Linked DNA regions of Sus scrofa. The protein of the gene in region 1 binds, or shares a complex with, the protein of each later gene. Links are inferred from orthologs where the notes say so. Each region holds a gene or a part of one and is shown on either strand. Other genes may lie near its edges. The genes, in order: CRHR1 and UCN.

The links.
Region 2: the proteins of CRHR1 (region 1) and UCN are in contact, whole or in part, in a cryo-EM structure (PDB 6PB0), measured with the Homo sapiens proteins. The link is inferred for Sus scrofa from reciprocal best matches to the Homo sapiens genes CRHR1 and UCN. Residues at the interface, in NP_004373.2 of Homo sapiens: Leu106, Asn107, Glu109, Lys113, His117, Val120, Asn123, Trp169, Val172, Gln173, Ser177, Pro178, His181, Gln182, Thr192, Tyr195, Asn196, His199, Phe203, Phe260, Gly261, Lys262, Pro264, Tyr270, Tyr272, Gln273, Met276, Ile277, Tyr327, Phe330; in NP_003344.1 of Homo sapiens: Asn84, Pro85, Ser86, Leu87, Ser88, Ile89, Asp90, Leu91, Thr92, Phe93, His94, Leu95, Leu96, Arg97, Leu99, Leu100, Glu101, Leu102, Ala103, Arg104, Thr105, Gln106, Gln108, Arg109.

The regions. Positions count from the first base shown.
Region 1 is NC_010454.4:17,250,573-17,254,326, forward strand, and holds the end of CRHR1 (corticotropin-releasing factor receptor 1), read right to left. Parts: intron 3,592-3,754; coding exon 3,550-3,591; intron 2,744-3,549; coding exon 2,603-2,743; 3' UTR 789-2,602; downstream 1-788.
Region 2 is NC_010445.4:111,833,243-111,836,612, reverse strand, and holds UCN (urocortin), read right to left. Parts: upstream 2,532-3,370; 5' UTR 1,746-2,531; intron 1,502-1,745; 5' UTR 1,489-1,501; coding exon 1,105-1,488; 3' UTR 681-1,104; downstream 1-680. UniProt on the Homo sapiens protein: Acts in vitro to stimulate the secretion of adrenocorticotropic hormone (ACTH). Binds with high affinity to CRF receptor types 1, 2-alpha, and 2-beta. Plays a role in the establishment of normal hearing thresholds.

The DNA.
Region 1 (3,754 bases):
CCAGGCTTGGAGCTGGTGAAGGGTTACGCTCGCTTCTGTGGGAGGGACCATGGTTCTTGGCAGCCCCACTGGTACCCCAGCAGCCCCTCTGCCCTAACAGTCTCTGGACACCAGGAATCCCAAGGTCCCCCCCCGCCAGGGGCCTCCAGCAGCTTCTGTGGTGACCACCAGCCTGGCCTTGGATGTCCTCCCACGACCTGCCAGAGCCAGCAGCTCTGAGCTCTGCAGCTGGCTGCCTGTGTACAACTGGGGGTGCTGCTCACCTCTCCCCATCACGCAAGGCTGTGCGCACGGCAAGCGTGTGAAGGATGCCCATCACCCATAACAGCCAGGAGGCACAATCAGGGAAGGGGAGTTGCCCCAGCCTGGCCCCTTGGCCTCTCTGCCACCCCCTCATAGAGCGCCCCCAGCCCCTCTCAGGCTCCCCCAGCCTTGCCATGCCCCTGCCTCCACATCCCGACATTGTCCACACACAGCCTTGCTTTCTCACTTCTGCCTCATTGGATGAAGAGTAGCATTAAGAAAGACCACTTGAGGGAGTTCCCATTGTGGCTCAGTGGGTGAAGAACCTGACTAGTATCTAGGAGGACATGAGTTCGATCCCTGGCCCTGCTCAGTGGGTTAAGGATCTGGCGTTGCTGTGAGTTGTGGTATAGCTACAGACACACCTTGGGACTGGTGTTGCTGTGGCTGTGGTGTAGGCCAGCAGCGGTAGCTCTGATTTGCCCCTAGCCTGGGAACTTCCATATACCACAGGTGCGGCCCTAAAAATCAAGGAAAAAAAAAAAAAAAAGATGCTTCAATTGTGCCTCAGTTGTGGCCATTTGAGCCTTAACAGTCAATCAGGTGGGAAGGCGCAGGTGTGGCTACCACCCAGCTTCCCCAGCTCCCAAGGCAGGACAAGTCTCCAGCAGCCCCCACTCTTCCTCCTGCCCTCCGTTCTGGGCCTCATGCCCCACCCACCACCCATGCGCTGTGTGCACTAAGCCCGGAGTTTGTTCTCCAAGCCTTGTCTCTGGTCTCCTTCTGGGGATCCTACCTTCAAGACAGCATTCAAACCTGTTCAGCCTCCCCTGCCTCCTAACGCCTTCCCGTTTCCAGCTCAGAGCCTCCCTGGGGGCTGGGACGTGCTCCGGCCGGGTCCCACAGCCTCATCTTTGTCCAAGCTGCACTGGATCCGTGGTGTCCTCCACCTGCAGGGTTCACCACGGCCCTTCTCCCTCCAGCCCGCCCCCCTGTGCTTATGACCTGGGCCCTGCAGACCCCATGCCCTTCTAAGCCCTCTCCTGCCCTCACCAGCTCCCCTTGCGCCCCATCCTTGGTGGGTGTGAGAGTGCCGTCAGGTTCCCCAGCCACACAGAGGCCCTAAAGGCTGAAAGTCGTCTCCATGTCTTCGTGGCATACCCCCTTACCCAGCCTCAGCACAGACCAGGCCTTCACACGTACTGGTTGAAAGATAAATATTATTATTTACACCAGCCGCCCCCATCTCCCAGCCCCAACCCCCCAAAGCCCTGCTCTGGTTGTCCAATACTTCTGGATATGGCTGGGTCCTTACCTGGGGTGTGAGCAGTAAGCTGGCTGTTTTCCCCAAGAGCCACCTGTCCTGTTTTAGGGACCTCAGGGCAGAGAGGGGCTGGTGTCCTGCCCTCTCTGTGCTTAGCTAATGATGTTGCCCCAGAGGTCATCCAAGGGCCACGAGATCCCTTTGACCAGCAGAGGGTTGCCCCAGAAGCGGGTCATGGAAGCCAGCAGACTGGGTGGCCCCAAGTCTTCTTTGCCCCTTGAAGGGTGGCTTTGGCTGGGGCACAGACTGGCTTTTGCTCAAGGACACTCCGCCACCCTCCCACCTCCCCATCTTCTCACAAAGGGGGAGACACCTGGGGCAGGAGGTTAAGGAGGGGGAAACCCCTGTGGGCTGTGCGGTGGTAAAGGCCCAAGGGTGCAAGGCAGCGAGGCAGGGCTTTTCTGGTGGCAGGACCACGGGGTCAGATGAATTTCTGGTGGCTTGGGAGGATTTCGGAGATGTGGCCTGATGTCTGATGATGACACTTGATTTCTAAGAATGTCTTCAGGGCTTCTGACAACATGGCCTTGGTTCCCAGGGCTGCTGGAAGGCATTGCTAAGGCCCAGAGGCATCATCACGATGGCTCAGATGCTGTCACAGGAATTTCCCATGATGCCCCTGAGGCAGTGAATGGCCCCTCACAGTCGCTGAGGACTCCAGCTGCCATCTTGTGCTCCGGGAGAAGATGCCTCTTGGAGGGACCTGCTTTGGATTCCCGCTCTCCACCTCCCCTCCATTTCTGCTCCATTCTCCAGGAAGATCGGGGCAAAGGGGAGCCAGAGGCCCTGGGCCCAGCCCAGTCCCATAGGTTACAGTCCATTCATCCCGTGCCCCACCTCCCGACTGCTCTCACAGGTCTGGTATTCCTGCTCAGCTGAGGGTCAGGGAGGATCCTGGGCTCTCAGGGCCAGCTGTTCCTGGGGGTACAGGGTGTGGGAAGGACCTGGTCCCCCCTACAGACAAGGCAGCTGGCTGAGTCTGGTGACCATCTTCCCAAACATAGATCTCGGGGGGCTGCTCCATAGCCCCCCAACTCAGACCGCAGTGGATTGCTTGATGCTGTGAAAGCTGACTCGGGTCGGGGAGGTGGGGATGGACATGGCGCGGGCCACACGGGCGCGGATTGAATGCTTGTCCTGCCATCGGTGCCACCTCTTCCGGATGGCGGAGCGGACCTGTGGGCACAGAGCAGAGCAGGGCTTTAGGACACCCTCTCCCTCCCCCAGGGCTGCCACAAGCAGCTCTACTTGTGAGCAGCACACAGGAGGCCACAGAGGAGGTGGCAATATTCACATCGTTGCTGATTTGCGGGTTTGTTTGTTTTTTTTTTTTCCTTTTCTTTTTACAGCCACACCTGCAGCACATAGAAGTTCCCAGGGTAGGGGTTGAATTGGAGCTGCATCTGCAACCTACACCACAGCTTGTGGCAATGCCAGACCCTTAACCCACTGAGTGATGCCAGGAATCAAACCCGCATCCTCGTGGATACTAGTTAGGTTCTTAACCCACTGAGCCACAATGGGAACTCCTGATTTGCATATTTGTTAGGAAAATTTTCTCAAGCATTCTGAACAAAGGATGGCTTTTCTGAATCCACCGAAAGGTGCCATATGGCCTTTGCCATGAGGACTCTATACCCTCAACCCATACACCTCTCCTGCCCTCAAGCTACATACACTTCCTGCTCCAGGGCTCAGCTTCCTGGTTTTCAGCAACTCATTTCACAGACCCATTGACAAGACTGGAGCCCCAGCTTCAGGCTCCCCTCACCCACTGCCTACGAGAGCAAAGAAGCAGGCTGGCCACTGCAGGAGCTGTGTGGGCGGGTGGCAGGGACTCTCCCGGGCTCCCAGCAGCATCCCCTTAGGGACCTGGGAGCAGGGAGGAGAGAGCCGGCATGTGGAGGGCAGGAGGAGGCTGCGGGCAATCTCGGGTCCCAGCAGGCCTCCTGCTGTCCTGAGCCCGGGCCCCAGGTCCTTACCTCGCTGTTGAGGAAACAGTAGAACACGGACACGAAGAAACCCTGGGGTGGAGGGAGAGGACGGGTCAAGGGACCGGGGCAGGTGCGGCCCCACCCAGCCTCAAGGGCTGCCCCCCTTTCTGTCCCCGGCCTCCTGCCCCTCCAGACCCCTGCCCGGAGAATCCCCACCCCAGGAGGTGCGGGGGTTGGCCAGGGCCATAGCCAG
Region 2 (3,370 bases), on another chromosome or scaffold:
GCTGTGGGGCAGTATGTCCTGAAAATCAGGGGCTCCAACTCACCCGGCCTTTCGTTCGGCACAGGCGCTTCCGGGGAGGAAGAGGATGAGGAGGTAGCGTTGGACGGGGAAGAGGGCAGCGCGGGGCCAGAGGAAGAGCGGCCGGATGGGCCGGAAGGTGAGTGTGGCCATGGCAGGGCCTGGCTGCTCCGCTCCTGCCCTCTCCTCCGGCCACTGCCCTCTCTGCGGCATCAGGGATCGCGCGTGGCCCCCACGGGACACGCCCCCTAGCGCGCGGGCTGAAGTACAACTTCCTTGCCCACCATTCATTCCCTGGGGTTTGGAAGGCCAGGTTGGACGGGAAAGTGGAGGAGAGGCTTTCCTGGCTGGGGAAAGGGATTCAGCTGTGTTTCGGAGTTGCCCTGTTCCTTTGGAGCGCCTGCCCATGGAGCTTTCTTTTCCGGGCGCAGGACTGCACTGACCCGCCCCTGTTGGGGAGCCTGACTTTCGGGTGGTGAAGGATCTGAACGGAGACCACCGCGCCACCCAGCTCGGCGCCCCGCCGCGGGGGAGGGGCTCAATAAAGAGCTAATGCGTCCCCACCCGCGCTCCTTTCGCTGCTCACTCTCTCAGCCTCGGAGACGTTCGCATCACCTCCCGCCCTCTCCAAATCTGGGACCATTTGGGGAGCAGAAGTGGAATGAACCCCTATTGGGCATCTCCTTGATATCAGGCACAGATTCGCGAGCCCAGTGCCAACGGAAGAGGGTGGGGTGGGGATGCGGCGGTACTGGGGCTTGAGTTCCTAGGAGACTTGGGGACATGGGGACCACAGGAACCTGGCTGAAAGCCGTCCTCCCGGAGCCCTCCAGCAGTACCCGGTTCCCTCTCTCCGGTCTGGGCGGCCCCACTTTCCCACAGGTTCCCACCCTGCTGTGGTTCCCTGAGCCCCCAAACAGAGGCCAACGGCTCTTCAGCACTTTTATTAAAAACTAGTATCGTGGGGAGTGCTCAGGGCATCTCTAGGCCGCTCTAGCCGCGCGGGACTAGGTCAGTTCCAGTCCCTCACGCCCAGCCTGGGGGTGGGGATGCAGGTCGAGGGTTTCAGGCCCCAGACCCAGATGATCACTTGCCCACCGAGTCGAATATGATGCGGTTCTGCTCGGCGCGCTCCCGCTGGCTCTGCGTCCGCGCCAGCTCCAGCAGGGTCCGCAGCAGGTGGAAGGTGAGGTCAATGGACAGCGGAGGGTCGTCCCGTCGCGGCCGCTCACTTGCGGCCCCGGATCCCCACCGGCCCTGCCCTGCGCGGCGTGGGAAGCGCTCGGCCAGCAACAAGAGGAGGGCGCGGGCCCCGCTGCCGCCGTGCTTCTGCGTCCTGGGACTCCAGCGCAGACTCGGGTCCTGGACCCCGGCCACGGCCGCCTCTGGGCTCCACTGGCTGCTCCCCGGACGCAGCTGTGCCAGAAGCAGAAGGGCCGCCAGCAGCGCAGCAAGTCCCGCCGGCCTCATGGTGCCACCGGCCCTGGACACACAGAGGCAGCGCGGGGGTGAGGTGCGTCTGGGACAGTCGCAGGTGGCACCACTCCCCTTCCCGCGCACGTCCAGCGTCCCTTCCCTAGCGAGCCCCTGCGACTGCTGCCCGGAGCCCGCAGCCTTCCCTCCAGCCCCAGCCGCTGCCACCCTTTCCTCCCTCCCTCTTGGTGGTGGGTGATTTGAGCGCTGTCCCGGTGCTGAGGGAAGCTGGGCGGATGCTCAGAGCCACTCACAGTTTGCGGGAGAGCGTCTGCTCCGTGCAGGACCAAGCTCCAGTCTCTGTCCCTCGGGGCGGGCTGAGGGCGCCTTGGGGAACACGGGGTCTGTCCCGGGACCGCCGCCAGCCTTATATAGCGCCAGGACAGCACCGAATGACGTCAGCAAGGAACATGCACTGATTGTAGAGCAATGACGGCCGCGGCTTCAAGTCCGACCTATAGCGGCTGCGAGACCCCGAGCAGGCGCACCTCAGGGCACTGGACTTGGCATGGCTGGAAGTGACACCCGACTCAAGAAAGTGAGAAGCCGGGTTGGGGCATAAAGATTGCTCTGGGAGACACAGAAGCCCTTCAACCACTTAGGATAGCCAGCAGGGACGAGAGGCGGGTCCCCAGACCAGACTAGTCCAGATCTCTTCTCAGGCACTTGAAAGGCAGGCTGGACCTTGGGGCTGTCCGTGGTGCTGACCTTGTCCTCAGCCTCTAGAAGGGGCCAGAGGGGTAGGGAAAACGCTGCTCAGACCCAGTCCCTGGCTCCAGCTATCAGTTCTGTAAACAGAGCCAGTTGGGACAGCACCACTGGCACTCAGCTATGGCCATGGTACCCACCCAAGGGGCAGCTGAGGCAGCTTGAGCTGCCAGGATTCTTGATCTTATTCTGGCCCCAGGATCTAAATTCTAGGGCTGTCTGACTGAGGCACCATTAAAAAAAAAAAAAAAAAAAAAAAAAAAAGGGCCTCTGGACTCAGGGTGCTTCCGGGCAACAAAAGGCTGGTCCATCTGCTTCTGGGTTAGCTCCAAAGTGGGAGTTTAGCCAAGTTAATTTTCCTCCTGGGAATCACAGCAGCAGTAGTTATTACTTTATCTTTGACCTCCCAGTTAAGATCGCTGGGTAGGAAGAAAACTTGGCATCTTAGTCTGAGCTGCTTTAACAAAAGTTACCATAAACTGGGTGGCTTATAAGCAACAAATATTTATTTCTTACAGTTCTGGCGGGCTGGGAAGTCCAAGATCATGGTGCCACTGGGTTTGGTGTCTGGTGAGGACATGCTTTCTGGCTCAGAGATAGCACCTTCTTGCCATGTGCTCGCATAGCCTCTTTTGTAAGCATCCTGATCCCATGAGGGCTCAGCCCTCCTGACAGAACCACTTCCCCAAAGCCCCACCTCCTAATACCACAACCTTGGGCATTAGGTTTTCACCATATGAACTTGGGGAGTACACAGACATTCGGACTATACCTTGTGGGTTCAAGTTTCTACTCTGCCACTAACTCAGCATGGACAGGTCACCTCACTTCTACGGGCCTCAGTGTCCTCATCTGTAAAAGAAGATTGGGCTTGGTGGTCTCCAGGCTTCTTTCCAAGCTCTAGAAAATGTAGCCCCCCCTCAGCAGTTTTTTGCTGGGTCTTATTGCTTCTGCAGGTTCCAGGTTATCTACTTAGTAACATTTACAGAGGCACCATATAAAGGGTTCAAGGGGGTGGTCCCTCCAAAACTAGAGCTACACTAAGGCTGGGAAGGGTTTGGAAAACAGATGTGTCTATGAAAAGGAGGAATGAGTGACATTTACTGGGATGTGGGTATAAGCTAAAGTTGACAAAACCATATGGTTCAATAAATATTTATGGGATGCCTAC